Linked DNA regions of Lonchura striata. The protein of the gene in region 3 binds, or shares a complex with, the protein of the main gene of each other region. Links are inferred from orthologs where the notes say so. Each region holds a gene or a part of one and is shown on either strand. Other genes may lie near its edges. The genes, in order: RBL2, LIN52, MYBL1 and E2F4.

Region 1 (7,336 bases), on a different chromosome or scaffold from region 3:
ACATGACAATGAACTCGGAGCCAGTCCTTCACCCATAAACATGGATGAGCTCAGACAGCTCGTGAAATATTTTTAGATCCTTGGCTGATAACCCCATTAACTATGTACTCACAGGTCTGGCATCTTCTCACAAAGCCAAAATCAATTCCAACAGTTAGATTAATTTGAAATCAGATTTGCCTTGTTTTTCTGAATAATTTATTAATTTAAATAAATCAACCTATGAGATCTACAATGCTAAGAATATTCTACAAAGTATGAGAAACCTCTTAAGTTTTAGAAAATTGCACTTTGCAAATTTGGCTTTAATTCCTTTACAGCTTCTTTATCTTCATCTTCTTTATCAGTGTTATTAGTCTTGATAGTCCAGATCACGGAACCAATTTATCAACATTCAGTTCCCTGAATTTCTGATTTGGAAAATAAAAGCTTATAGAGGAAAGCTTTTGCATTGTTTAATCAACAGCAATGCTTCAACAGTAGAGGAAACCGGCTAAGAAGTACGTAAGAACATTCTTTTTTTTGTGAGAATCTATGGAATTTTTAGAAAACAACGAGATTTCTAATAAAGTCAATTATTTCAGAAGCTTTTATTTATTACTTTATAGACATAAGCATCTGACACAAAATTGTTTGTCAGATTCTGACCTCATTTAATGATTTTACCAAAACCATGTGAAAAGTGAAGTCTTATGCAAAAACAGAGATAAAGCTTGTGAACATTTTCACAATGAACTACAAATGGTTTCTCATGTGAAAAGTTCACAATTTGCACACTCCCAAAATTCATGGTTTTTCAGTGTCTGGCTTCTTGCTCCTTTGAGTGAAGGAAGTAAATCTCTCATTTTGAAAACCAGCGTTTTCATGAACATAGTACTGCCCTACTTCTTTGGCAGTGGGCTATAACACAAACATTCTGGGGATATAGACTCTACACAGACTTCAAAAACAGGAAACAAGAAACACATTTAGCTTTTATTCTCGATTTCCAATTTCACAAGGTGATAAGCACTCTTTGTGATTTTTTAAGTGTCTAAAAATCAGCAAGAATAAAAGTTACCTTTGGTCTGAACAGCGCAGGATTCTGGTTAAGGACACATAATTTCCTTCCGCTGTTCCCCTGCTCACAGTTGGAATTGCTTTCCTGCAAGCCACATACAAGGCACAAGCCAGCCAATGCATGTCATTTCCCTGTGAATCAAAACATCAGGCATCTAAAAAACTGCACTGAAAACAAAAACATGCTTTTTCAGCTACCCCAGCAGCAGGGAAAAGCACTGTCCCAAACAGATGAAGTTCAACCAGTGAGAAAGTAGATTTGCTGTTTCAAACTTCTGTTGCGCTTTGGGTTTTTAACTGCAACAAAACAGGTGCTAAATAGACACTGAACACTGAACTGCATCAAAACTACTAGTTGCCATTATAACATTTACATTTGACTCAAAATATCCAATATATTTTCAGTATATGAAAATATATTTTTAGTGTTCATCTACAGCATTTTGTACTGCTTGGATTTAAAAGAAAAAGAAAAAAAAAAAAAAAAGAGAAAAAGAGAAACTACTATAGTTCTTGCAACCAAAACATCCTTCTGCCCTGAAGAGACAGCAGGAAAAGAAAAACATTGCTTCCATTTCGCTCTGTATTAAACAGCAGAACAATTATTCAATCCGGTACCCAAAGAAAGAAGTTATTTCTAATGAGCACTTGAAATTTTATTCTTCGTCTTTGAGCAATGAGTAACACCTCAGTGGAAAAAGGAACGGGAAGAAAGAAGGGGCCAAACGGAATTCGATGCTGCGGTTGTTGGTTCTGTCGGGCTCCGCGGTGCCAGGGGCCCGGCTGAGCGCCCACCTGGGGGTGTGCGAGGCAAGGCTCGATCCCGAGCACCGCCGCCCGCCCGCGACGGGACAGCGGCGCGGCCGGAGCCGCTCCTCCTCCCGCAGCCCCGAGCCCGGCGCGGAGCTCTGCCCGAGAGCCGCGGGGGCAGCGCGGGGGCAGCGCGGGGCAGCGCGGGGCAGCGCGGAGCAGCGCGGGGACAGCGCGGGGCAGCGCGGGGGCAGCGCGGGGGAAGCGCGGGGGAAGCGCGGGGGAAGCGCGGGGGAAGCGCGGGGCAGCGCGGGGGAAGCGCGGGGGAAGCGCGGGGGAAGCGCGGGGAAAGCGCGGGACAGCGCGGGACAGCGCGGGGAAGCGCGGGGGCAGCGCGGGGCAGCGCGGGGCAGCGCGGGGGAAGCGCGGGGGAAGCGCGGGGCAGCGCGGGGGCAGCGCGGGCCAGCGCGGGGCAGCGCGGGGAAGCGCGGGGGCAGCGCGGGGAAGCGCGGGGGCAGCGCGGGGCAGCGCGGGGGAAGCGCGGGGGAAGCGCGGGGGCAGCGCGGGGCAGCGCGGTTATCACAGGCGCCACCTTTGCTGTGGGAAGGCACCGATAAAAGCTCCCGGGCGCGTCACCGCGTGTTCCTGTTTTCCAGAACGACGCGACCAACCCTTCACCTTCCACCCTCCACCCGCCCGGCCCGGGCCGTGCCGCGGCCGCGCAAGCCCCCAGAAATAAGTGACAAATGTGATCGCACCTGCGCTGGCATCCCCGCGGGCCCCGCGCCGGCCGAGGCCGCCGCGCCGCTGCCCGGCCGAGCTGCGGAGAGCCGAGGGACCGCAGTGGCGGGGGCTCTTCCATTTTTAACACCTTTCCGCCGCTATGACTCCCAGTGGCGATGGTCACTCCCGGCCGCCCGGGCGGTGCGAGGGAGAGGCCGCCGCGCCCCCGCCGCCGTCCCTCCCCTCCGCACCTCCCCCGCGCGTCCCGCCGCGCTCCCCCCGGCCCCGCCACCCCTCCCTCACCTCCAGGGTGTAGTTGCGCCTCATGCTCTGGTAGCTCAGCCAGGCCTCGGCGCGGGCGCGCTCGTCCATGTTGAGGTTCCTGCAGAGCTCCTCGTAGCGCTGCCGGGTCTCGCCGTCCTCGCCCGGCGGGGACGGGGCGGCGGCCGCGGCCCCCGCGGGACCCGGCTCGGCCCCGGCCGCCTCCTCGCCCGCCATGCCGCGCCCCGCCGCTGGGGGGCAGCTCCGCGCCTGCGCCGCCGCCCCGCGCGTTCGAATCCAAACACCGGGGGACGGGCCCCGCCCCCGCCGCGCGCCGCGCCCGCTCATTGGCCCGCGGGGCAACAGCCCGCCCCGCCCGCGCGCAGGCGCACGGCGCGCGCTCCTAGCACGCACCGCGAGACGCGCGCGCGGCGCGGATCGGGAGCGCGCCCGGCGCGCGAGCCCCGGGCGGGGCGGGGCCGGGGCCGTGAGGGGAGCCCGGAACGGGCGGAGAGCGGCCGGGCCGGCTGCGGCTGTACACGAATAGACACAAACACACGCACGAATATACACGAATATGTGCACACAGTGCGGGGTACGGGCTGCACACAGACAGACACACAAATATGTACACAGAGTGCGGGGTACGGGCTGTACACAAATATATACACAAATACGTACACAGAGTGCGGGGTACGGGCTGTACACAATACACACACAAATACGAACACGGTACAGGCTGTACGCTCACACAGAGCGAGGTACAGGCTGTACACAGGCAGTGAGGGGGAGGAAAGACAGAAATAGCTCCCCTGGTCAGGTGCCAGCCGAGCAGAAAGGAGGCTGCCAAAAGTAAGGTTAAACTCCTAAAGCAGGTACGTGTCAATGAAGTGACCAGTAAAACAGGCTGCACTTGATTAAAAGACATTTATTGACTGTTGGCTTGATTTTGTATTACTGGTATTTCACGAACGTTGAAAGCTTCAGGGAAAAAAAAAAAAAAAAGAAATGTTAAGAATATTTGACTGACCTGAGATGTGATTCAGGACACAAATACACACTGGTACCCAGCAATGAGAACTGCAGAAAGCCCAAGCTGGCACTGGAAGATGGTGATGCCAGCAGGGTTCCCCCCAAACCTGCAGCCCCTAGACTACCAGAACAACTTACAACTTTAAAAAGGAGTGATTAGATTGTATTTCATCTTACTTTTTGTTTTAACACAGAGGAGCTATGAACTTTGCCATCAGGCCAAGTTCCTGCTCTGAGTTATGCACAGCATTGATGGGAAGCTCTCTGCCACCCATAAGACTATATAAATTATGTAAGGCTTTTCTGTTTAGCTATATTTACAGTATCTACTAAAATACAAAGCAACAATAACTTATTACAGCATTTAATTTCTACTGAGAAATAATTCATCTACTCTTTAAAAATCCTTCATATAAAAAAAGGAGGAACAAACCCTCACAATATTGAAATACCTAAAGAGTTAAAAGGTTAAAGGATCAAAGTGAAGTTTATTATGCAGTGATTACACCTGTGTACTTCCCTATGGTTTCATGCATTCAGACTTCATAAATAAATGGTTTGACTGCTCTTGTGTAGAAAACTTTTTTTTTTGAAGTTTTTATTTAATGGTGTACTGAAAACTCAGACAAGAAACATACTTTTTTATCCCTGAGGACTTAGCATCACTTATTTCTCCACTTCTCCCTTCTTTCCCTCCCGCTCCTCCCCCATTAAAAGGATGCATGAATAATAAAGTTACCCTCATATGGCATGTTAATTATTTTAATGATTTTGACTATTGCTAGATGTTAGACCTACCAGTATGACAAGTAACAGCCACAAACACCCTCTCAGCGCGAGTCCGTCACAGCTGCTTGGCTACCCCTTGGCAGCATACATTTTTTACTGTGCTGTAGACTCAGAAATCTTCCCCATGAACATGTCTTGCTCCCTGCTTTGAGCTGCTGCACGCAGCTCAAACACTGTCAAGGACAGGACCTGACATGGTAGTCCCCAAATCAAATGCTTTTGTCGTCTGAGAGCAGAAAACAGTGTGAGGACTGTTACCAGTTTTGGTGAACACTAAGGAAAATGCTCTCATCTCTCTAGATGATGACACTGTATTTGTTATTAGGATCCCAAGAATTTCCCAAACCAGCCTTCCTTTAATTCAGGAGACCTTACCTGGAACACCAGTGCACTGTCAGGTCTCCTTCATACTGGAAACACACAGGAGGCAGAGCAAACAAGTCCTCATTTTCCAGTTTAACTTCATGAAGGATCTTGGGCACTACACCTTCCTTCCTTCCTTGCATGAAAGAACCTGAAAGGAGGCAGCATTCAATAAAAAAACATCATAAAAAGAACTTGGAAAGCTGTTATCTTTATTTCCTTTTCCTCTAAATGTTAACAAAGAAATTATACTGCCTGTTTGTGTAACATTAGGGACATTCAGATAAGCCAGGACAGTTATTTTGTAAACTGTGGCTACACAGTACAATTAGTCTGCTCTACAGACAACACCACCAGCCCAAGGTCCCAACAACACAGAGATATAAAATTTTAAATGTTGGTCAACTACAGCAGTGTAAATCCCACATTGCACTGAAACAGCCTTGCTCATGTGGAAGGTAATTCTATGTGTAATAAAACTAAATCAGAAACTGCCTATAAAACTGTTAGTAACTTGCAAATCACAAATAAGTTAATGTAACACTATTGTGCAGCCCCCTTTATATTAACCCTGAACACCAGGCACATTTCATCTTGCTACAACTTGCATTAGACCTTCCTCAAACCTTCATTTTAATGAATGGTCACACTGAGCAATCCATGAAAAATTTATTACTAGATAACATGGCACAAATAATTTTGTTGGACACAGAATAAAACATACAGGACAGGACTTTTCCCTGGACACCTTGTTAAGAGTCTTATCTAATCATACCCCACATACTGCTTGGAAAAATTTCAAAGGAGTGCCAGAAACTAACCACTACTATAGTGCCTAGAGCATCTTGGGAATACTTCAATTGAAAACATATTTCCATATTTCCATTGAAAAACAGATCTTTATATTTTAATTTACAGACCAAGAGGACTGGATTCTAAAACTAATTTTAAAAAATACTATTGGAGATTTTGCATGACTTCCATGGAAAAAAGAGAAGTTGAGAACGGAGCTCATGTATATGTCAACTTCTAACACCTGTGTACACATCTGCAGAAGCTCGAAAAAGATGATCAGGATATGAAGATAAAATTCAGACTGAAATAAATAAGGATACGATTGAATCATTCTAATGCAATGCCAGGTGGCAGGAGACACCTTGGGTTCAGGAGCAATGTCTGTGCCCTGTGTGAAATACATGCAATAGTTAAGTGCTGTGTACATAATTAAAAGCTTTAATGAAAATGTGGAAAGTAATGCAAAGTTTTTTTCTGAAAAAAAAAGACTGAAAAGGTACTTACTTCACTGCCAACATGCTTATTTAAAATTAAGGTAACTTTTGGACCAGAACCTAGACTGAACATTCTTTTCTAACCATAAGTACTGAAGAGTGGGAGTAACAGCTGGTTTGATTGTAAGATAAGAAAATTAGGGGCAATTGATTCCCAGGAAAAATATACAAGAGTAAACCATGGTCTTGGGCAGTAGGTGTGTTATGTCCTTGGCTTGTTTGCAGGGTTTTTTTTAAGGTCTTAAGAATAATTTCAGTTTTAAAACTTAGCACTGAAACTTGAGTTTTGCTGCTGGAAGATCCATGTTTAATCCTTTCACAGCATTACTTTCACATACGGAGGCTGACATCACGGGTAGTCAAAGAATATGTTTAATAAAAAATAATTAAACTTCCATTTGCTCTATAGAACATCATAGAAAGTAATTCAATAAATTACAAATGACTTTTTAAGACGCTTGTTCAACTACAGAAAGCAAATTCAGACTACACAGAACACAACTGGCAAATATTGCAAATGTCCAAAAAAAACCTGGACTAAGACTTGGATCATGAAGCCTGAAACAAGGGATAGAAATACAAGGCAATAACAGCTAAGGTTTTTTTAGTAACTACCAACACACACTTTATCATCACCTTGGATATCCTTTTAATTTTAACTCCAGTATTAGTGTAATTCTACTGAGGTTTCCTTATAACCCTTAACTTTATACAACCGTATTTGCATATAGTTTAGCTGATAGTGGGACACTTTTTTCCCCCCTCTGGATCAAACTGATGAAAAATAACCCAAATATAATTATGTTCAAGTCTACACCAGCTTTCATTACTTGAAACTGTAATTGCCTTATTACATAGAAAGAATCACTAGAACAGTAACCAAACTTACTTGACCATAATAGGAAAATACTTTATTTCATAAATCTGATATAAATTAGGTTTTAGCCACAAGATTTAGGACTTGTTTTGTGGGGGAAGGGTGGGAAGTGATGGTGTTGTCGACATACTCCATCAGCAAATGAAGTTAATAACTGCTTGTAAAACTTTGGCTATTTCATAGATGCATCCTA
Region 2 (7,008 bases), on a different chromosome or scaffold from region 3:
CAGTTTTACACTGTTATACTTTAACTTCTACTCCAAATGCTTCACACAGTCTTAACAGATATTAGCACTGAAAGTAAAATAAACTCAAAGTAGGTTAAAACAAGCTTAATGATTTGTTATTAAGAATGCATTAGGCTATCCTATGTCTGCAGTCAGAAAGACTCTAAAGGTTTATTACTAAGTTGTAGTACCCACTAAAAGCAAGGTGAAAGACTTGAAACTTTTGGTGCTTCATGTAGCCCAAGAGTAATTACAACCAGGGTCTAAACAGAAAAAAAAATGTGTTGGTATGTATGGGTAGTATTAAAACCAACTCCACAATATTCTTGATATCCTCAAAGCTATATCAACCTGTTAACAGGAGTCCTAAATGAGACAATGAAAGGAGCTCTTTTTTCAAAAAAACACAGAAAGAGTTGGCTGTTTGCAACTGGGATGAAAGTCATCTTTATTACTCAATGACATCACTGCCCACCACAACTGAGTGTAAAAAAAGTAACAGCTACAGAAGCAGAAAGCAGTATGAATACCAAAGTGACAGGAGAATCCTATACACAAATTTCCCTGTGGAGGCAGTGCATGAAATTTGAGAGAAGTACTGCCACAATTATTTTGAGAAATACCTTTAGAATTTGAGTGGGAAATTAAGCAAAGTGACCTGATTTATGTAACACAATGTTAACTCAGGAACAGAAGTCTCTGTGCCACTGGGTAACACCAGACACACATCTTCCCCCATGCAGGTAGGCTGTAAGTTGGAGATGTAAGTTCATTCTCTCATCCTGTTGCAGGAGGTCACTGTAAAACACTTGCCAAATCTGTCAACACACTTTTCCAGCTACCAATGTACAGGCACATGCTTTAGTGGAAAGATTTGGAATGCAGTCAGTCATATCTGTGTACAGCACTTACATTCATCCAGTCCCAGTTGATAAGCCAGGTTCTGCAGGCCACGAACTTTTTCCATCAGATTAGCTGTAGTAAGGCTCCCCAGCTCTTAAAAAGAGAGAAAAAGACGAATTTTAACCCTCTCTATAGTCCTCCAATAGCAGTTCACCTGTTTAGTACTTCACAGAGCACTTTCAAGCCTTAATTCTGTCAGGATCTGTTTCAGTGAACAGCGTACATTCAAAATTCAAGCTGACTCCACTCCTAATTTTAAAGTACGGAGAAAGGCAGCCATGACTCTAGTTCGTGATTTGATCTGCCACCATTGCAAAGAGTAATTTGACCTATACTTTAGAAGTTCCTCTAAGTTCACACTGCAACATGAACAAGCTATATAAAAGTAGCAAGGGAATGGACTTATTTTGCATTAATAACGTGAGTTCAAGCACATTTCTTGGAGTGAGTCAGAGTTAAATTGTCTCACTTTCACTCTGTAGCTGTGACATGTCACTGTGACACGATCACACACCATCATTCAGAATTCATGACAGGAAGAGCACGCTGAAGGATATTGACTGCAAACTAACAGCTGCACCATGAAGAAAGTGTACATGCTAGCTAATCCTGCTGTAACTTGCCTGTACAGCCTCACCGTTGCATTGGAGCTCCTGGATCTGTGAGGGAACACACACACGTAGAGCATCTCTGAACAAGTCAATCAACAAGTCTAAGCTACTCACCAACTGATCAGCTGAGCCCCTCCAAAAAATTAATGCTACTTCTCAAAATGCAGGAGATGCTCACTATACTTATATGGTGATAAAAAGGCTATGGGAGGTGACTGAAATATACACAATGTTACATTGCTTATCTTGAAAAATCAGCCTGCCACTGATATCTGGATAGGCTCTTGGAAATAACTGGTTTAATGAAAATGTCTATCATTAACAAGATGAAGAGACTTATGAGTTGGAGATTCTGCAAATATGATGGCTAGAGATCTCAGGCCATAAGGCCACCACCAAAACATTTAAAGAACAAGTGTTTTAAGCCTCTTAGTAACTACTGAATTCCCATCTGCTTTGGCAACCTTAATTCTTGCCCACAATATTCATACTCACCCTTCAACATATCAATATCATCATTTTCTAATTCAGCCATCCACTTGGGGGGAGAACTTGTAATGGGCTATTTTGAAAAAAATAGAAGTTCATATTCAGAAAAGTCCATTCTTAGAATTATACAATGAAGTACGATCTGTATTGAAAACTAGTTACAACAACAGCAAAAATGCGAGAGTGTGTGCCATAGAAATACCTTTATGTTTAATCTTGCTTTTTCCTGGACACTTTAGAGTTAAAAACGGCATGCCACCATTCACAAGCCAAAAAATCAGTATGAAAAATAGGATTTTCTGACGTTTAAAAGCCTTTACTGCTTTCAAAGTATAATTCTCATACACAGTGAACTACAGAAGGCATAAAAAGAAACACATATATAAAAGATACATTAAAACCAAAAGCTATATTGTAGCATATATTGGACTTATTGCTGAGATACGGTTCATAGAAGATGTAAAGCGCGCAAGAGAACCTGCCGATCTACTATTACACGGAAGGAAGAAACGCGAAAGGGAAAGGCAAAGCAGCGCTCACTCACGCTTTTGAAGGAGGCGGCGAACTCGGCAACCCCGGGCACTGGGGAGAGAAAGCGGAGGTTGGCACGGGGTGAGCGCTCCTGCGGGCGGCACCGCCACCCGCCCCGGCCCGTGCAGCTGCCCCAAGGAGGCCCGGCCCGGCCCGGCCCGTGCAGCTGCCCCAAGGAGGCCCGGCCCGGCTCGGCCCGGCCGGGCTCTCCCCACCCCACCCCGAGCTGTCAGACTCGGGGCCGCGGGCCCGCCGCACTTACGCTGCTCGGGCCACAGGTCCGGGGAGGCGCGGTCCAGCTTCTCGAAGCTCAGCAGCGAGGTCTCCAGGTCGGCGCCTGCAACAGAGAGGGGGTGAGGGCAGTGCGGGCGGGGAGCGGCGCGGGAGCGGCGGTGCCGCCCGGCCCTCCCGCCTCACCGTCCGCCGGAGCCGCCATGGCGCGCGCCTCACGTGACCGCGCCCGCGGCCGAGCCGCGCGGGAGCGGAAAGCAGGCCCCGCCCCCAGCCCCACGCGCCGCGCTCGCGGCCGCCGCAGGGCGGGGCCGGGCCGGGCCGGGCCGGGCCGTGACGCTCGGAGGGCGGCTCGGCCCCCTCCGCCAATCCGCGGCCCGGCACGGGGGGCGGGGGCCGTGGGGGCGCGGCCAGAGCGGCTGCTGGCGGCGATTGGCCGCGCGGGGGCGGGGCCGGGGCGGGGGCGCGGCCGGGGGCCTCGGAGCGGGGACCCTCGGCCGGGATGGCGGCGGCGGCGGCGGCGCGGGGAGCGTGGGGCGGGCGGCGCCGCGTGGCGCTCAGGGTGAGGCGGCCGGCCGGCCCCGGGCGGCTCCGGCGGCTCGGGGGGCGCAGGGGGGTCGAGGCTCACCTGACCCCGGGGCCCCGCGGGGGTCGGTTCCGGGCGGGAGCAGCCGGAGGGGGGTCGGGGGGAGGTGCTGCCTGACCCGCCCTGAGGTGGTCTGTGCTTGCCCCCGTCCAGCTGCCGCGGACAGCCGGTGCCCCCTGGACCACCTCAGTCGCCGCGTCCTTCTCTTCCTCGGTGGTGAGTGCCCGTCCCGCGGAGCGGAGCCGGTGGGCGGGGAGGGAGGCGCGGGAGAGCCCCGGGCGCCGCCGCCCGCCGGACACTGCCCTCGGCTCCGCTCCGCTGAGGCCGTTCCCGCCGGCTCGGCTGGACCCCGGCGGGTCCGGTGGAACAAACATCGGCTCTGCGCCCGCGCTCCACGGGAGGGACGGGAAAAAGTTCCATGTCCGATTTGTCGGACTGCGGAGCTGAGCGGTGGCCGCCCTCACCCCGCGGTACTCCTGGTGGCTCTGGACTGGCCTCATGCATCTATTTGCGACAGAGAGAGGATCTGGTTTCTTTCGGACAGTATCAAACAACTTTGGTTCTTGTACTGCCTTTTTTCCTCTGCTGTCCATGGCTGCACACTCTCTGAACTCCAAACCAGAATTCCACAAGTAGTCTGCTTTACTACCGTCCATGTTCCCACAGCAGGTGCATTCTCTACATAAAAAAAGGTGGCGATGTTATGGGAAAGGTGCAATTAATTTTAATTCACCATTTTCTGGCTTGCTTAAAGTATTTTTTGTTGCGTGTGCAATGTTTGAGATACCCTTTTTAATCAATTTGAAAAAGACATTAACTCCATTGCACTGAAGTCTATGTGGGTCATAAAGCATTGGCGCTTGTGGTTGTACTGCATTAGCCTCGGTGGCACTGAGGCTAATGGAGTGATTGATAGCCATAGGAGTTTGTCATTCTTTAGACCAGCAGCTTTTCTCACAGTCAGGAAACTCGGTCAAGGGACTCGGATATCCTGTGCTTTCTTCCAGGTTCTAGAGGAGATTGTGTTTTTGTAGGCACAGATTTCTGCCTCTCTTCCCCAAGTGTGAGTCCAGCTACATAATCATCTGCAACATTTTAATTTTAATTCTCTTCTAGCATTGCTTTCCAAATCATTAAGTTTTGCTTGTCCATTAACAGACTTATTTTATACTTCTGATCCTAACTTTCTCATCTCAAAGCTTTCTCAGTTTGTCCAACTAACATTGCTGTTAATTTTTTTTCACTTTCATCCACTTTTCACTGTCATCACTTGTCCACCCTGTACCATTTATGTTCCTGATTCTTACTCTGATCTCTGTCTCTTCATTACACTTTGGATATCATCCAAGTTCTCATCTCCCTTTCATAATTCCATATCATAATTTCTTCATTTTCATGATATATTTGGGTTTATATCCTGGTTCTGTTGATCTGTCCCATTTGTGTTATTCATACAGAAGATCCATTTCCCCTTTCTCTTACATGTTCTCCCCAAGTCATGGATTTGTGTCATGATTAACTGGTTCTTGCTTTCTTCTAATTCTCTCCTTACCTCCCAATGTCAACTCCTCTTTTATAGTTTCTTAATTTATACAGTCACAATTTGTTTTCCTGCATGGTATAGTTTTGTTGCCTATCTAATGCTAATTACAGCTTTTACCTCTGCCTTCTGTTCTGTTCTATGTTTGCCTGAACTCCTTATTCCAAACTTTCCTTGTCCCTCCTCTTCATCTGAGTGGGAAAGTTTTGTTTTCTGTGCTGCCAGCCAGGACAGTCCACAGATACAGGTTTCTTACTCTTAGTTGCAAGACCAAGCAGGGGGTGGGGAAAGTCCAATTTTCTGCTTGAAGCTATAAACTGGAAAGATGAACCTGCTTAGTGGCTTGATGGGAAGGAGGCACATGGGACAGTGGTACAGTCTGCACTGGGTTCACAGAATTCCCATGAAGTGAATTATTAACTGTTTCTTCTGAACATTTATGAGTTGCAGTTTTTCAGGTTTTGATTAAATAGATTGAAACAATCCCAAACATAAGCAGAGCAATGTATTTTTTTCTATAACTGCTTTTAGAAAGAATTTTGGCTATTTAGGTGTAAAGAGAGCAAAATGGGGCAGAGAGCAATTATCTGGGTCTTGCTGTGAAGACTGGATACAGACTTTAGTGGTTCACATAGCAGTAAATGATAAAGGCTTGCATGTAATATGGCACATTGGCATTTAGGCATGTTGAGACAAAAATAACTCACTTTTCAGTGTTTTGACCTCCACAGCCAACAACCAAACTCTTCATTGATGGGAAGTTTATTGAGTCCAAAACTACTGAATGGATTGATATCCACAACCCAGTAAGTGAAATGCTCTCACCTTATGTAAATAGTGATCACTGTGAAACAAAGGTCTATGCCTCTTCAGGGATGTGGCAGATGAAAAACATACATTTCTTGAGAAAGGTTTAGACTCAGCAGACTACAGCTTCTCAGTTTCCTTTTCACATGAAATATCAGTTTCAGAATAAGTTACTATCACCCTTACCTCCCTCACATAGTAAGGCCCTGGTCTCCAGAAAGGAAGCTTAAATTTTGGTTATGTATTTTTTTGTATGTCAGATTTCTGAAGGGTGTCTTTCACTCTGTATATGAAATCAACTGGGTGTGATTTGATCCCAGCTGAATGTGAAATCCTGATAGAGGCTGATATTACTCTCAGAGTAAAAAGGTGAAAAATGCTAACAGCTGAAGCTCCTCTCCTTTCAGAGAGTTTCTATCTGTTGACGCACAATAATCACAGAGCTAGATGCTATGCAGTGCAAAATAGATAAGTAGCACTTGTGTTGTCTATGTACTCCACCAAAGACAAATGGAAATGAGGTTGCACTCAGAATTCTGATCCTCTGGCCTTCCTAGTAAGCCTTTAAAACAGCAGTTTCTAAATCTTTTCTGTACAGCTCTATTTTCATTTGCTTTGTGCAAATGATCAGAGCAGCAAGTAATGTTCATGAAGCTCATTTGGTCTATGTAGCAAGCAGTGCTCTTGTTTAATTTTCTTCCTCTTGTTTTGAGTAATTTCTGTCTTACTGATATATCTGAAATTTTTGTCATGTCAAAGCAGATTTAATTCTTAAGATAACATTAGAAGGAGGTTAAACTGGCACCAAGCTTGAAGTTAAAATACAATAGAATTAAGGTTGTATATAAATAGTACTTTGGCCTAGGGGTATAGGTAAGCTAATATCAATGGCAAATGTGCAGTCATGTACTGCTTTTCACAAAGGAATATTGCCTCATTTAATGTGCAAGAGGGACAGCCAGATGAACCAAGACGATGGAGAGGAAAAGACCATAGTCCATGGAAAATTTTTCCTTATACTGTCTAGAAGTTTCAAGATAGCCAAGTCACTTCAACTCCAGCTTGGAAATCAGCACTGCATTTGTAGTTTTCTGAGTGCTTAGCTTGATATATTTGGAATGCAGGTTTTCAGAACTACTCCAGTTGTAGCCCAGGCCTTTTGTGTGCAATCAAGGAAGGCATTTCCTTTGTGCTGTGCCCTCAGAAGTACAACTTGTAGAACAAGAATATTAGGTGTGTGCTGTGAAAGAACTCTTGAATGGTTGGTGGGAACACATAGGAAAAGCTGAGTTTTGATGCAATTTGTTTTC
Region 3 (7,569 bases):
AGATACGTTCCAGAATAAATAACTTCGGCATCAGGGCTGAGCCTCAAAGCACAGAGCCAGAGGGCCAGGGCAGCCGGGTACCGCTGCGGCTCCGCGTAGATCACGCTCCATCTACTGGGGAAACGCGGAACTCCACTGCCTGCAGAAACAAAGCCTTCCAGTCGGCACAGGGAATTTTTCATGGAATCGTCCCTGAAACTTCTGTCAGCGACTCATGCTAGCATAAATTCAAACACATGTGGAAACCTAACCCTAACAACAAGAGCTGCAGTGCCCCTCCATTAATTACACCAAAGGCACAAAGAATAGACTCCCAATCCAAACATATCACTTAAATTAAAAGCAGTTTAACAGTGCAATTTTTTTCTCTGTTTTATTATTGGTACAAAGCACAATAAAAATATCATAAATTCAGGTTCAAAACAAAAATTATTTCTGCTCACCCTTGACAACTATACTTTTTCAGTTGAAAGTATAAAAAAAACTTTCCCCAGTAATGAAATTAACCTGTGCTGGCATCCCAAGAACAATTCCATGGACGATCTCTCCATTATTTCCTAGAACATGCAATCAGCACCCTGATTAACCACTTACACATTATTTACCATTAAGTCTGCTCCTGTTAGCCACCAAGGACATACTTTATTCAAAAGCATTACCACAGGATAGTAAGTGCCCAAGTCCTGCAGACTTGCTTCTACATCCTACACCACACCTGCATTTGCCCAACTTTAGCTTCATGATGCATCAGTAAAACATAAGCAAATTAAAACTTTGCCGACTTACTTAAGACAGCAAACTTGTGGGAAGGTCAACAGCAAGTTCTTCATCATACTTTCAAAAAAAAAAACTGCAAACGTTTTAAGAGGTTTGCATTAGGTGGCTTAAGACTTAGAAAAACAGATCTTAAACGTAGAAGCAGCAGTTTTTTCTGCCTCCCTACCAACGCCTCTTTTTTCTTTTGTCCACAGATATTTGACAAACTTCAGGGATCTATCTTAGGATTGCAATACTAAAATATAGTTCTCATAATACCATTTCATACCAGGCAGGCCATACAGTTCACTTATAACTAAAATCAGGCCTTCTTGTAAAGCCCTCTGTCAGCACGACCTCCTCACCCACTGCACAGCAAACTAGTCCTGAGCAGTCTCCAGCTAGGAGAAAAGTCAGGGGGATTCAAAGGAAGAGAAGGGCCCCACGTACAAAGTGGTGACGCTGCTGAGAGCGGTGCCAGACCAGGTGAGGCCCCACAGGTAGCCACGGTGCAGAGCCCTGCACTGGGAGTTCTCCGGGTGCACTCATGTCCCACTGGTGCCTCCGTCAGCCAAGCAGGCATTAACCTCTCCTGCACCTCAATGAACCTGAACAACCACTTAGTCCTGAGTCTTGTTTAGACTAGTGCTATGATAGACTATAAATCAAATCCTGATTAATGAGTGGGACTACTACTTCAGTTTTCAATTAAAAAGGCAAGATTTTTAAACACATGGGGTTGTTATAGTTCATTTGACAATTCTTTTGCAGTTATGAAACTGCTAAAATACTGCACTGAAGTGGAAGGCATCCACCAAGCTTCATCCAATCATCTGGGACAATGAGGTACATATTTTGTGAGATCTTTGCTAGCTGTCCATGCAATTCTGAGTTGAGGACCATTAAAAGAAAAAAATCAAACTTGTAAATGCAACAAAAGAGCAGTTTAAATTAATGTAAGGTTAAACTTAATACCATTTGGTGCAAAACAATTACAGTTTCTCCTTACTCCACACCTAGACTAAAAGTCTTGAAGTCACTTTCATGAAAACTCATAGCTTCAGTGATATAGTTTTGGAGATACCATCATCAGACACCAACACAACATCCGCCTCGGGCTACCAATCTCTAACCAAACCTTCCTCTGCTATCCACAACCCACTGTACTTTCAATCATGAAATCAAAGCACTCCACAGCCATGGGAGATAATACAATCTAAAGCTTGACAAAAATGAAACTACTGTGTGTAATACCACAGGTGAAAAAAGTCCCTTAAACTACAGAATGCTGATTAGGAGTGCCAAGAAACATGCTGCCTCTGAGCTATCTTGGAGACAGCCAAGCACAGACAGCTTCAGTAGTCTGTGAACACCAAAGCATTGCTTTCTTGTTTTAGTTGTCATTTTGCAGAAAAGTATTCTCTTATATTTTTTTTCACGTCAGAGGAAAATGCAGAAGCAATTCTAATACGTATAACTTTGAAACCACCCTTAATTCCATAAAAAGTATGCATTCACAACAAACCCCAGATGCCATAGATAACACACCAAGTATCCTTTCCTTTCTCAATCCTAATCCTTCTCTTACATTTCTTTATAACTTTCCACAAACTGATTTAAGACAAGAATAACCATAGAGACAAAACAGTTCTCCAAGACCCACCTTCTGCATACAAAGCAAAGACACGCCCATTTTCATATCAATATAACAAAAGATGTATGAAAGCTATCTAGGGCAGCTGCTGGAGCTCTTGTGCAAAACTTTATCTCTCAGGAACATTTCAGGCTAGATTGTGACTGTATCAGCTGAGAAAAAGTAAGTGCATTGAACATATTGAAAGAATCAACAGGCCCAAACCTTACATCAAGGCTGTGCCAAAGAGAATTGTGAAGTGAAAGGGAAGAAGTGTTACTCCACCAAAAGAAAAATAACCAGCACGGAAAGCTACTGCGGAGACAGCGTAGTTGTTACTGACAAGCTCAGTTGCTCAGGTGAGTTACAAAAAAAAACAACCTGAGCGAAAGCACAGAAGCGAGAGCAGCTGCCAGGGGAAAGGCGGGATTTGCACCCGAGAGAAGAGATACCTGCGAGGGGGCCGGAGGGCGGAGGGAGCTGGGCAGTGACAGCCGAGAGCGGGGCGGTGGAAGGAGGCCGGGAGCAGCGGTGAGGGGCGGGGCGGCACCTGGCCGGGATCCCGGGGCGCGGGGGGAGCCCCTGGCCGGGATCCCGGGGCGGGGGGAGCACCTGGGTTCGGCACGGCGGCGTGGACGGCAGCACTGCCCGGGAGGGGATGGGGGCAGAAAGCGCAGAGCGCTCGGTCCCGCACTCACCTGCGCCGTCTCTCCGCCATCCTCGGCGCGCACCATAGGGGGGCCGCCGCGGCCGCGGGGCGCAGCACGGAGCCCCCGAGGCGCCCGGGCTCCCTCTCTCACAGCAGGGCAGGGACGTAGCGGGGCACCGGCGGCTCAGAATGCCTCCAGCCGGGCAGGGATCCTCCCAGGGCCCGCTGCTCCCCGCGGTGCCCGCAGCGCCCCGGCGGCCGCCTTCAGCCCCGGCCCGGCCCCGGCGCGTCAGGCATGGCTCGGCCCGGCCGCTGCCCGCAAGGTCGGGGCGCGCAGCGGCCCCGTTCTCGCCCCTACTGCGCCTCGCTCTCCGATGCTGTCAGAGCTGCCGCGGGCTCCGGCGGCGCCCGCCGCGCTCCTTCCCTCCGCGCCCGGGCCGCTCTGCTCCGCCGCCCTGCCCTGTGCCCTCCCGGCCCCCGCCGCGCACCGGCCGCCGCCGCTCGGGCTCAGCCGCCGGCGCTCGCGGCGCGCTCGGCTGGTGCCGCCCGAATCTCGCGCGCAGCCTCCCCCCCGCGAGCCGCCGTTTGAATCTGCGCAGGCGGACTGACGCCCCATTGGCCGCCGCCGACCGCACGCGGCTCCGCGCGCCGGGCGGGAGGGGCGGGGCCTCGCGCCGGCGGGCGGGCGGCGTGACGGGGCCGGGGCGGGGGGAGCGGGGCGGCCCCGCAACGCCCCGCCGCGAGCGCCCGCGAGCCGCCCCGCGCCGGCGGCAACGGCGGCGGCTCCCGACGGCAAAAGAGTGAGAAAGTAACGGCGGGGCCGCCCCCGCGCGGCAAAACCGAGCGCCTCCTTCGAGCCGGAATCGAACCAGCGACCTAAGGATTCCCGCGGGCCGCGCCTCTACAGTCCTCCGCTCTACCAGCTGAGCTATCGAAGGGAGCTGGCCGGCCCTCCCGCTCCTCGGTATAAATCCTGTTTTCCGGGTGCCGCGGGTGACGCGTGTTGTAGCTGGAATTCCCTCCCCGAGAGCAGCTGGAGCATGGAGACGCTCTCCGGACGGACACACGGAACTGCGAGCGGCCCTGCCGCCCAGCGGCGCCTCCCGCACCCTGGCCCCGCCGCCGGCGGGTCGGTCAGCGCAGCGGGCGCGGCGCTCTCCGCTTCTCACGCTCCCGCGCCGGGGCGAGCTGTCCCGGCGGACGAGGGCAGCGCTTCCCGCTTCCCTCCCTTGCCGAAAAACCGATGTTTTATCCTTGCTCGCGTGCTGGAGGAGCGGGAAGCGGGGGTCTCATCCATCAGCCAGCCAGCGCTCTTACGGAGCTCCTGCTCCAGCCACGGCACGGGTCTGTTGGGAAGAGGCCATCCCCAAATAGAATCAGGTTTGAAAAGACCTCTCAAGATCATCGAGTGCAACGCATGACAACACCACCGTCAACTAACTGTGGCACTGAGTGCCAAATCCAGTCCTTCCTTGAAAACCTCCACGGGCTACGTCTCAGGGCAGCCCATTTCAACGTTTAGTCACCCTTTCCGTGAAGAAATTCCTAATGTCTAACCTAAACTTCCCCTGGCACAGCCTAAGACTAAGCGCTGTCATCCTGTCACTAGTTGCCTGGAGGAAGCTGAACCCCACCTGGCTACAGCTTCCTTTCTGGTAGAAACACATCGCATCCTCGGTGGCTGTGCAATGACCTCCTGAAGCTATCACCATCGTGAAGTAAAAGCTATATTCCAGCAGAACCTCTGTGTGTTCCAGGTATTTTCCTACACGAGACTTTAGCTGGAACTATAGAACAATTAGGATTGGAAGGGACCTTAAAGATCATCTAGTTCCAGCCTCCATGCAATGGGCAGGGACACCTTCCACTGGACCAGGTTGCTCAAAGCTCCATCTAACTTGGCCTGGAATGCTTTCAGGGATGGGGCATCCACAACTTCTCCAGTGCCTTACCACCCTCAGTAATTGGTGGTCATTTTTTTTACCTAATATCTAATCTAAACCTATTATCTTTTAGTTTGAATCCATTCTCCTTTGTCCTGTCACTACATGAGCTGTTCCAGTTATGCTTTAAATTGTATTTAAAGAGAGGTGCTCCACTCCCTTAAACATCTTTGCAGCCCTCCGCTGGACCTGCTGCAGAAACTCCTTGTCTCTCTCGTCCTGAAGAGCCCAGAACTGCACACAGCACTCCAGATGTGTAGAGGGACAGCATCACCTCCCTCCACCTCCTGGCAGAGCTCTTCCTAATGCTCCCCAGGGTACCACTGGCCTTCTTGGGCACCACGGCACACGGCTGGCTCATGGGCAGCCTGCTGTCCTCCCGGATGGAATACACAGAAGTTATCTGAATAAACTAAGCCGTGTGTGGAGTCTATGCATCCCCACAGCCCCGTGGATGTTCCCGGTGCGTCCCCGCAGCGTCTGGGCTGTTCCCGGTGCGTCCCCGCAGCCCCGTGGATGTTCCCGGTGCGTCCCCGCAGCCCCGTGGATGTTCCCGGTGCGTCCCCGCAGCCCCGTGGATGTTCCCGGTGCGTCCCCGCAGCCCCGGGGATGTTCCCGGTGCGTCCCCGCAGCCCCGTGGATGTTCCCGGTGCCAGTCGCTGGAACGCCGGGCTCGCAGCGCCCCCTGCGCGGGCACGCGGGAACTACAGGTGGCGGCACAACCCCCACGGCACGGGAGGGCAAAAACCCACCAAAACACCGCCAAAAACCCACCAAAACACCACCAAAAACCCACCAAAACACCACCAAAAACCCACCAAAACACCACCAAAAACCCACCAAAACACCACCAAAAACCCACCTTCACCCGCTCCGCAAACCCATGATACAAGGGAGAACTAGTATCGTTGCATCTTTTACAAAGAAAAGTAAATCCTTGAGGATTTTATTTGTAGTCTTTGCTAATAGGTATTCAGCACCAACCTACATTCCCTGTGATGCACTTTTAGTATCCAGAGATGACAACGCAGCAGGTTTCCCCACATCAAAGCTCTGACAGGAGTCTTTGAACTACAAAAGCTGTAATGAAAAAGTAATAAAAACCATCCTGAGACAGGATTTGTGTCATCAGCCTTATACAGTATGAAATGGCATCTTTTAGTATTCATTTATATTTAATTCACAGTGAAAGGAGCCTGAAATAAAAATATTATTGTCTAAATAGGTGCCTTTTTGTATATTCCCATAGTAACACATGTGTTCCTAATTTGCAGGAAACAGATCCTGAAAGCATTAGCTGAAGCAAATTGCTAAAATAATAAGTACTGATGGTCCTGTTGTTAAAAGATTCCTTAGCCTAAAGATGTAGTTTGTTATGACATCCAGTAAACATTCTCCTTGGAGTACACCAGTAAGCATATACACGCCTCACTTCTTTTTTTTTATTTTATCCTGTTACTGTCCTGTGTAACAAGGTCTAATGTTTGGAATTTCTTTTGCTCCTACATGCTAAAAAAAAAGTATGGAGATGCATTCCCCTCTCTCTGTCTCTTCTTCTAGCTTCTAGCACTTCACAAAACCAAGCCAAAGGCTTACTACTCTCTTCATAGAGCCTATAAGAAAGAAGGCACAAACAGACCATGTCTCTGTAGCAGGATATGGACTATCCCCTCCCATCTCATCTGAGCTGTCATGGCTCACAAGCCCCCAGACCCAGGACACTCACCAGCTAGCAATATCTGAGTCCCATTGTGCAAGAACTTCTTTCTGCCTTGGTTTGCCCTTCCCGAGACTCCCTTGTGACAAAGGAGAGCCCAGTTCCGCCTAGAACCAAAGAACATGATCAGGTGCAAAGACATTGCTGCAAGTTCAGGGTGTCTGGAAGAGGCAAATCATAGGTCATAGACCTTGAGTCACAGTGACATACTTCCAGTGGCATTTTTTGACACTTTAGCATTACCTTAGAACTGTTATTTGGGTCTCCTGACAAATCAAAACCAAACAACACTTGAATCAGCTGTTGGCATTTGGATCTTGCTTGGGTTTTGTAGGGTTGCCCAAGTACTAATGGCAGTGGACAACATATTTCCAAAGACAGGGGACTCTTGCTCTTACCCAGATGACTCAGAGGACAAAGTGCTCTGGAAGACACAGTGATGGTCCTACCATTTGTTCCATTATTTATTCCTTCTTGTTTAGTTTCCTGCTAATCTGCAGGGATAAAACTTCTATTAGGCATTCATTATGGCCTTAACTAACACCAGATTGTTCCTGTTAGGAAACAGATTCCTTCCCATAAAACACTGATGCTTCAAAAAATGTCACCAAGCTGCAGTGGTATGAAGGTACCACACTATAAGGCCATATATTAAGTCTATATGTATACTGTTTTTTACTGCTCCAGTTTGGTAAGAGTTCTATGATAAAACCTTTAGTGAATAAAAAATACCAGTCATGATCCCACTGCCTACTGTCACAAGGAAATGATAGAAAAACTTGGAAGTCACATGCAGAAGTTTGTAATTCTTTGCTCCTATGCTTTGGAAGCTCATTGTGAATTCAGGCAGCCAATTGACAGTATTCATGCT
Region 4 (7,329 bases), on a different chromosome or scaffold from region 3:
AGCTCTGTGCCCATCAGATCTGACATCCTGAGATAGTTAAGCCACAAGAGCAGCTCTGCACTAAATAAAGTGGCACCTGTGACTCAGAAAAAACCACTTTTCTCACTGTGGTAAACATTACTATGTTTTTACTTCCAAAAGCCAGAGGAGAAGCTGGATGCAGAGAAAAGCAGGTCTCCAGGCTGGACAGTTACCCTAATTTCAAACCAAGGTGCTGCCTTTTGATCCTTTCAGTGCAGCTTCTCCAGCAGCAACAGGCCAGCACCCACCAAGCTGTCATGTCTCTGCTTCCCAGCCCAGCAAGTGAACACGGAGACAGAGCCATCAGTTCACACAAAGGATATCGACTGTTCTGCATGTCTTCTGTAACATTTTTGATGCTCTGCTGAACCCACATCTTCTGCTGCTCCAGCTCCTGCTCCCGCTGCTCCAAGTCCTCAATGTCTGCCTTCAGCTCAATCAGTTTGTGAGCTATTTCACGTGTGTTGCAGCCAGGACCCACCCCCCTGGGTAAAACAAAAATGGGTGAGATATATCGGCCTCTGGAGGCACCCAGACCAACATCAATCTCTCTGCCAGCCTCTTATTCCCACCCGTGTCAAACACCAATGCCAGATTGCCTGGAAAGCTGTGTCTGTACCCACTCTAGACCCCCACTTCCCACCATAGCAATGTTTGGTACACCTTTCTACTTCCCACAGTCTCCCCCACCTCCAGTGCCATGACAGGTATCTTTCCTAGACCAAGGCAGTGCAAATATTTAGTTTGTACCAAAATAACACCTTTGCTGTAAGAGAGACACCATACGAACTTCAGCTTTCCTCACTGTGCCATCAGCACAGCACAGCTGGGGGAGGCAAGAGCATGGACCACTCAGGAACCTCCCTCTGCACACAGCATTTTAATCCCACTGTCACTTAAATCTGCATTAGAAGGGACCTGTGAATGATTTAGACCATCTCTACCACTCACTTCCACTGGATACTGTTCTTGGACTTCTTCTCAATCAACCCGATGCCTTCCAGGACATTCGTGATATCGTAGATCCGTCGCTTCTGTCGCACAGCCAAGGTATCTGCAGCCTGAAAAAGGTTAAGATACTTAATTCCAAACTCTCAGTCATGTTTAGCTCCTTCCTGCCTGGCAGATTAACTCCTGGCCAAATACTTTGCTCCCTGTTTCATACCTCTCCCATTCCAGCGTTTCACGTTACACAGCCATCTTCTTGATCTCACATGACCATGAGAAGAAGTCACTCATTCTTCTTTTTTTCTTACCCCATAGCCTCCCCACTAAACCCAAATCAAATTCCAGCACTCCTACTCACAGTGGATACAAAAATCACCATTCTCCAGTAGCAAAGCAGTGCTAGAATATAGTAGTTCAGCAGCCTAAAAATTTAGTGCTCCCTCGGGGTAGAGATGGAGATGGGAAGGGGAATGCTGAGAGCTGTCTGTGCAACACTTCAGTGAAATCAACATTCACAAGGTCTTTTCTAAAGCTGATCTGACACTACTTGATAAAGAATCAATATCTTTTCAAGAGATTCCTCTGTTTGAATGACATGACTCCAGGTGGAGAGTAACCATGAGCATGCCTGGGGCTTCCCTGCCTTGCTCAAATAACCCTTTTCCCTCAGGTTTCAGGACTCAAGGAATGGCACTGTTTCCACTACCACACGGCAACCTGGCACCAGCAAGAGTTAATGTGTGCACAGAAGGACCAACAATGTCAGTGGCAGTGCAGACACAGCAGGTCAGCACAGGAACTATGTCTCTGTCACCTACCAGTGACAGGCCAGGACCTCGGAGATCCTACACCATACAACTACATAAATCACACTGACTAACACGAATTCCCTTAATGGACATTTGAAGAAGAAAAATATTGTCAAATCAAATGAGAAAACAATTTGGCACAGGCATGGAGCCAGGAAACTCCTCCAGTCCATTACTGGGGCTTTCTGGCACTTGTCTGTCTCACACACGTGCCCACATAAGAGATGCTTATATAAACCACAGCAAAGGAACTTCCCCTACAGGAAAGGCCAGAGATTAAATACTATACATTGACAGTGTTACTTCCTCTAGGTGAAGATCTTAAAATGCAGAAGCAAGATGATTTCACACAACACTTCTCCACTGCCTAAAGGCATGGGGACAACCTCTGGCAGGTGACTCTGACCACCCTCCCCATCCTGGTGTGTGCCAGGAGGGTTAAGTGCTGTATGGACAGTTTCTATAGGTATGTGTTTCTGTAGATGTCTGAGGCTTTGGTGCCAGTGATCAAGTACGGGGCAAGAACGCATAAGAGAAGAAGGTGGTCAAACGTTTCTGCAACTGAAGCACACATACACCTCCAATGCATGGTCAAGTCCTGGCGAAAGAAGAGTCGCCGGGACAACCCGACGGGGTGGGGACAAGGGCTGGGAAGGAGGAGCAGGCGGGGGTGTAAGGTCGGCCAATGCAGAGCCCTCTGTGTACGGCCGGCAGCCCTGCCGCAGCCCCAGAACCCCGCTTTCCGCTCGCCTAGAAACAGCATCAGTACGGCTGGAAAAGCCCTCACGGCTCATCGATCCCAGCCCCTAAACCCCACCACTGAACCATGTTCCTAAGCACCGCACCCACAAACCTTTTGAGCGGGGACAGTGCCTCCACCGCTGCCCTGGGCAGCCCATTCCACCAGTGCCTCAGCACTCTTGCCGTGAAGAAATTTTTCCTGGAATCCAAACTAAACCACCTGCTGCACCGGGCGCTGCCATGCCCCCGTTCTCCCCCTGCAGACCTGCTCCAGCCGCCGGATGACCGGTCCCGCCGGAGCATCGCTCTCCCGGCGGCCGCTCCCTCCGAGCCCTCCCCCGGGGCGGCGGAGCCCTCCACCCCCCCGGCTGCCCCCGCACCAGCTTGAGGTCGAGCACGCCGTCCTTGGCCTCCTGCAGCAGCGACACGAACTTGGTGGTCAGCAGCCCCAGGCTCTTCTCGTGCCGGCTGGGCGCGCCCGCAGCCCCGCTGCCACCGCCGGCGGGCTGCGCCCCGCACTCCGCCATCTGCCCGCCGCCGCCGCCGGCTCCGGGGCCGCGCATCCGCTTCCGGGCCGCGGGGCTCCCCGGGAACCTCCGGGGCGGGGACGGCGGCGGGGCGGGGACCGGGGACTCCCCGCCGCCGCCTCCCGGGGCTCCGGAGCCGTTCCGCTCTGCTGCCGGTGTTCCGTCAGCCCCGTCGGTTTGGGGGTCCCCCGGGCAAAGCCAGGGGTGCGTCCATCCCCTCGCCGTTCTGCGGTGCCAAAGTCAAGCCCCACCCTGTGGTAGCGAAGCCAAACCTCAGCCGTGTACTCGGCTCTCACCGCCCGGGTGTCAGGGCCGGTTTGCTGCTCCAGCACACCCAGCGCCGGGGGAATCCTCCAGCCTGTGCCCGGGGAAGGCAGCCTGTGGCAGGGACACATCTGCAGGTCCATCTGCAGCCATGGAGGGTGCATCCCCGCGTTCTCGCCTCCGGGTCAGGCTGGCACAGCACACCCTTCATGGTGATCCACCCTCGAGTGGGCTCGCACTGTGGATGGGCTGGGGTCTGGGACCCCGCTGGCCTCCCCGAGCCAGGGTGGGTGCGAGAGAACAGTGCTGCGGGCACGGACAGGGCTGAGTGTCCGGAGAACAGGGGGTGCCGGTGTGGGTGGACAGGACGAGAGGAAATGGCCTCAAGTTGAGTCAGGAGAGGGCTAGATTGGATATTAGGGGAAATTTCTTCATTAAAGGATGGTCAGGCACTGTAAAATGTTGCCTGGGGCAGTGGTGAAGTCACCATCCCCGGACACGTTAAAAAGCCGTGTGGATGTATCACTTAGGATATGGTTTAGTGGTGGGCTTGGCAGTTACCGGTTGGTACTCGATGATTTTAGAGGGCTTTTCCGATCTAAACGATCCTTTGATTCCGTGACTTGTATTCCCCAGACCTCCGGCTGTCGCCGTGCCTTCCCGTGTCCCCCCTCCCCTCCGCCCCCCGTTCCTGACGTCCTGAGCGCGGCTGCGGGAACACAATGAGGCCCTGAGGAGCGCGGCTGCTCCGGCTGAGGAAACGGCAGCCGGCTTCCTCCGCAGCCCTGCCCTGGCCCCGCAGCTCCGCGCAGCCTGGACACCATGGGCATGTCTGCGGAGGACGAGCGCGCCGCCAGCCCCAGAGGTAACGCGCATGATGCTCCCCGGGAGCCGGCGAGCTGGGCAGGGAAGGGATGCTGCTGCTTTGCAGCACGTTTTGGGGATTCCCCTGCTCTTTGCCTCACCACCCCCTCCACCCTCCTGGATCTTTTCCCTGTGCCGTGGCTGGTGCTTTGTTGTCCTTGCGGGGTGGCAGCCTGGCTGTGCTTCCTGATGGCGATACCTGCGCGGGGGCAGTTCTGCTCACCGCTCATCTTATCCTCAAAGCTGCTGTCCTCCTCCCTAATCCCCTGGTCCCAAGGCTGCCAGCGGCTCCCCAGCAGAGCAGGAGCCTGGCTTGGCACGGGGTGATAGCCCCGCGGAGCTGCAGGGAGTGGCTGGGGATGGGGTGGCGTGGGGGAATGATGAAACCAGGCATGAGGGGACTGGGAATGGTGTGTGATAACTGTGCTGGTTCTCAGACCTCCACTGTGGCCAGGAGCTCTTTGGCATGGCTTTGGACCCTGTGTCAAGGGGGACACAGCTGCATGGGTGCTTTGGGGAGACCAGGAGTCTCCAATCCTCACTTTAGCCTGGCTCTCCTTCCTGCGAGAACTGCTGTGTCCCCATCCCTCCTGCTGACTCACTGCTGGAGTCTCAACCCTGCTGACAGCTGCCCAAGTGGCATCAAACCCCCTCAGACAACCCAGCATTTTGTTTTGGGGAGTAGCCGGGATGTACACTCAGCCTGGGGACAATCTGAGCTGGCAGGCTGAGTCACAGCACCCCAGGACAGCTTTATTTCTTGCTGCCACAGCTGCTATGACAACCCCGGGCCGTGGTGGTGGCATCTTAGGGGGCCCTTGTGGAAGGACCCTCTTGGGGACACGCTGCCCAGCTTCCCACGTCGGTGTGTGCTTGGAAGTCCACTAGCGGCGAGCTTCCTGCCTCTGGCCTCAGGGGCCCTTCCTGCCCCACTTGGTTGTGCTCACTGACCCCTGGCTTCGTCCCCAGACGAGGAGTGGCCGGAAGCGGAGAAGGCTGAGAAGCTGGCGAGAGGAGCTGCTCTGAAATGGGCTTCAGGGGTGTTTTACCGCCCCGAGAAACTGGAGGGGCTCGGGCATTACCGGAGGCGAGAGACGCAGAGGAACAACTCCATCCAGTCCCGGCTGAAGGTGTGTGTTTGCCCATCCCGCGGACACTTGCAGCCACACCCCCTCTTCAGGCAGGGACCCCAGCCAGGTCCCCTCTTGCGCCATCAATTCTCTGTATGTCCTCTTTTGACAAAATCTTTTCCTTTGGCTGGCGTTTGGTGGGTGAAGTGTAATTGTTGGGGAGAGAAGACCCCCTTCACCCTCTGCCTTACCCCCAGGCAGTGTCTGAAGTTTTAAAAGGAGTCTTCTGTGTCTCTGACAATGCGGCAAAATAAAACACCAAGGGGGCTCAGCACATTCCATGTGCAGGACTCAGTGCACCCCATCACTGCCCCGTCCCAGCCCCAAAGGCTGCCCTGCCCCACAGCTGGGAGGAAGCACAGAGCTCCAACCTGTCCCTGCCTGTGCATCTCCACAGGGAAAACTCCATCTCTCCACATTTGTAAGGGTTGTCCCAGTCCCCCTGCACACTTGCCTCCTCACCCACATCCTCTTTTGCATGACCCAAGGAATCAGTCTGAGCACCACAACTTTCTCCTAATAATTTTAGAAATGGTTTCTCCTATCCTGACTCTGGATGAATTGTCTGGGAGGCCTCCGTGAAAGCAACTTTTCCTGGTGATTCTTGGCATCAGGAGCAGGGAGTTAAATGAGTGGATAGGGCACGGAGATGTGCCAGTGCAGGGCTGGAAACGATGGCACTCCATTTGGGAGGAGGGTTTATATGGCCACTGAGGTCCTTCATACCTTGGGGGCACATAGGGACCCTATGACCCACTGCTCTTTTGCAGAAGCAAAGTAATCTTTTAAAACTGAGAGAGGCATCTGCTTGCTGTTTACCATGGGCCTTGTGGGGCTGGGAGAGTGCCTGCAACACATATTGTACAGGGCTGGGACAAGTGGTGTGGAGTCCTCCTGCCTTCTGGAGCTGCTCCACTGCCCTCCATCCTTTTCTGCTCCCCAGTCAACTGTCCAGTCCTACCTGGAGGGGGTAAGTGCAGGGCTGGAGCAGCTGCGGTCGGCGGCCCAGGAGGTGCAGGGCGTGTGCCAGGACCTGGGGGCTGCACGGTGGGCCCTGCTTGACAGCGCAGACAACTTCCAGGGCCTCCAGCAGATGAGGAAGCTGATGGAGGAACATGTGCAGCTGGCCTCGGTGGTCCAGGTGCTGCCCCAGATCTTCTCGGGTAAGGCACTGGCCCAATCCTGGTCAATTTGGGCTGAAAAGCACTGGGGGAAACCTCAGTGCAACCACAGGCTCTGTGCAGGGCTGGTGGTAAAGCAGGTCATTCAGGCTTTGCCAGCTGGGTGAATGGAGATATCCCTGCTTCCCCAGGGCCTGATCCAATGGTGTTCCCAGAGCCCCAGACCTTTCCCCTCACCATCTCCTTGATAACCTGCATCTATGTCCCTGGTGCAAACCCCTTCATCTCCACACTCAGTGCTGGCATCTCTCCTCCCTCTCCCACAGTCCACGAGGTTTTTTCCCATATCCTGCAGCTGCTCCATGGGCAGCATCTCTTGGAGGCCCACGTGGAACTCATGATGGTAGAGCAACTCCGGGATGACATCCTCTCCCAGCTGCACCTCCGCGGGCTCTCCGATGCCCAGGCAACTGTGCTGTCCTACTTCAGTGGCCTGCAGGACCTCAACGAGAGCCTGGCCAAGCAGCTGTGGGACATTGTGGGCAGCAGCCTGCAGCTGGTGCGCGAGGACCCCGTTCTCTTTGTCACTGCTGTGAGGATCATCGAGCGGGAGGAGAAAATAGATGATACTCTGCTCTTGGAGGCCACCTTCCTTCCCCCTGGCCGCCCAAAGGGCTGGAGGCAGAAGTTCTACCAGGTCCTCCAGGACACCATCACAGGAGCCCGTTTCCATGCTCCCCGCATGGATGCTGAGGGGCCAGGGCTGGCCAAGCACCTGGCAGCGCTGCAAAAGGACATCGTGTCTGAGCTGCGTGTGGTGAAGGACCTGATGGTCCAGTGTGTCCCAGCCCACTACAACATCCTCAGCCTCTGCACTGCCACCTACCACCAGGCCCTCACCAGC

The links.
Region 1: MYBL1 (region 3) and RBL2 share a complex: the UniProt entries of both Homo sapiens proteins name them as parts of the DREAM complex. The link is inferred for Lonchura striata from reciprocal best matches to the Homo sapiens genes MYBL1 and RBL2.
Region 2: MYBL1 (region 3) and LIN52 share a complex: the UniProt entries of both Homo sapiens proteins name them as parts of the DREAM complex. The link is inferred for Lonchura striata from reciprocal best matches to the Homo sapiens genes MYBL1 and LIN52.
Region 4: MYBL1 (region 3) and E2F4 share a complex: the UniProt entries of both Homo sapiens proteins name them as parts of the DREAM complex. The link is inferred for Lonchura striata from reciprocal best matches to the Homo sapiens genes MYBL1 and E2F4.

What each region holds. Positions count from the first base shown.
Region 1 is NC_134615.1:12,862,096-12,869,431, reverse strand, and holds the start of RBL2 (retinoblastoma-like protein 2), read right to left. Parts: upstream 3,031-7,336; coding exon 2,836-3,030; intron 1,192-2,835; coding exon 1,061-1,191; intron 1-1,060. UniProt on the Homo sapiens protein: Key regulator of entry into cell division. Directly involved in heterochromatin formation by maintaining overall chromatin structure and, in particular, that of constitutive heterochromatin by stabilizing histone methylation.
Region 2 is NC_134608.1:23,653,926-23,660,933, forward strand, and holds the start of LIN52 (protein lin-52 homolog), read right to left. Parts: upstream 3,046-7,008; 5' UTR 2,971-3,045; coding exon 2,952-2,970; intron 2,872-2,951; coding exon 2,797-2,871; intron 2,586-2,796; coding exon 2,548-2,585; intron 2,077-2,547; coding exon 2,010-2,076; intron 997-2,009; coding exon 913-996; intron 1-912. Other genes in the region: ALDH6A1 (methylmalonate-semialdehyde/malonate-semialdehyde dehydrogenase [acylating], mitochondrial), read left to right, coding at 3,268-3,327, 3,505-3,567, 5,623-5,697.
Region 3 is NC_134603.1:35,032,961-35,040,529, reverse strand, and holds the start of MYBL1 (myb-related protein A), read right to left. Parts: upstream 3,123-7,569; 5' UTR 3,108-3,122; coding exon 3,088-3,107; intron 1-3,087. UniProt on the Homo sapiens protein: Transcription factor that specifically recognizes the sequence 5'-YAAC[GT]G-3'.
Region 4 is NC_134615.1:16,854,884-16,862,212, forward strand, and holds the start of E2F4 (transcription factor E2F4), read right to left. Parts: upstream 3,083-7,329; coding exon 2,900-3,082; intron 1,083-2,899; coding exon 973-1,082; intron 507-972; coding exon 343-506; intron 1-342. Other genes in the region: EXOC3L1 (exocyst complex component 3-like protein), read left to right, coding at 4,133-4,175, 5,144-5,304, 6,248-6,467, 6,752-7,329. UniProt on the Homo sapiens protein: Transcription activator that binds DNA cooperatively with DP proteins through the E2 recognition site, 5'-TTTC[CG]CGC-3' found in the promoter region of a number of genes whose products are involved in cell cycle regulation or in DNA replication.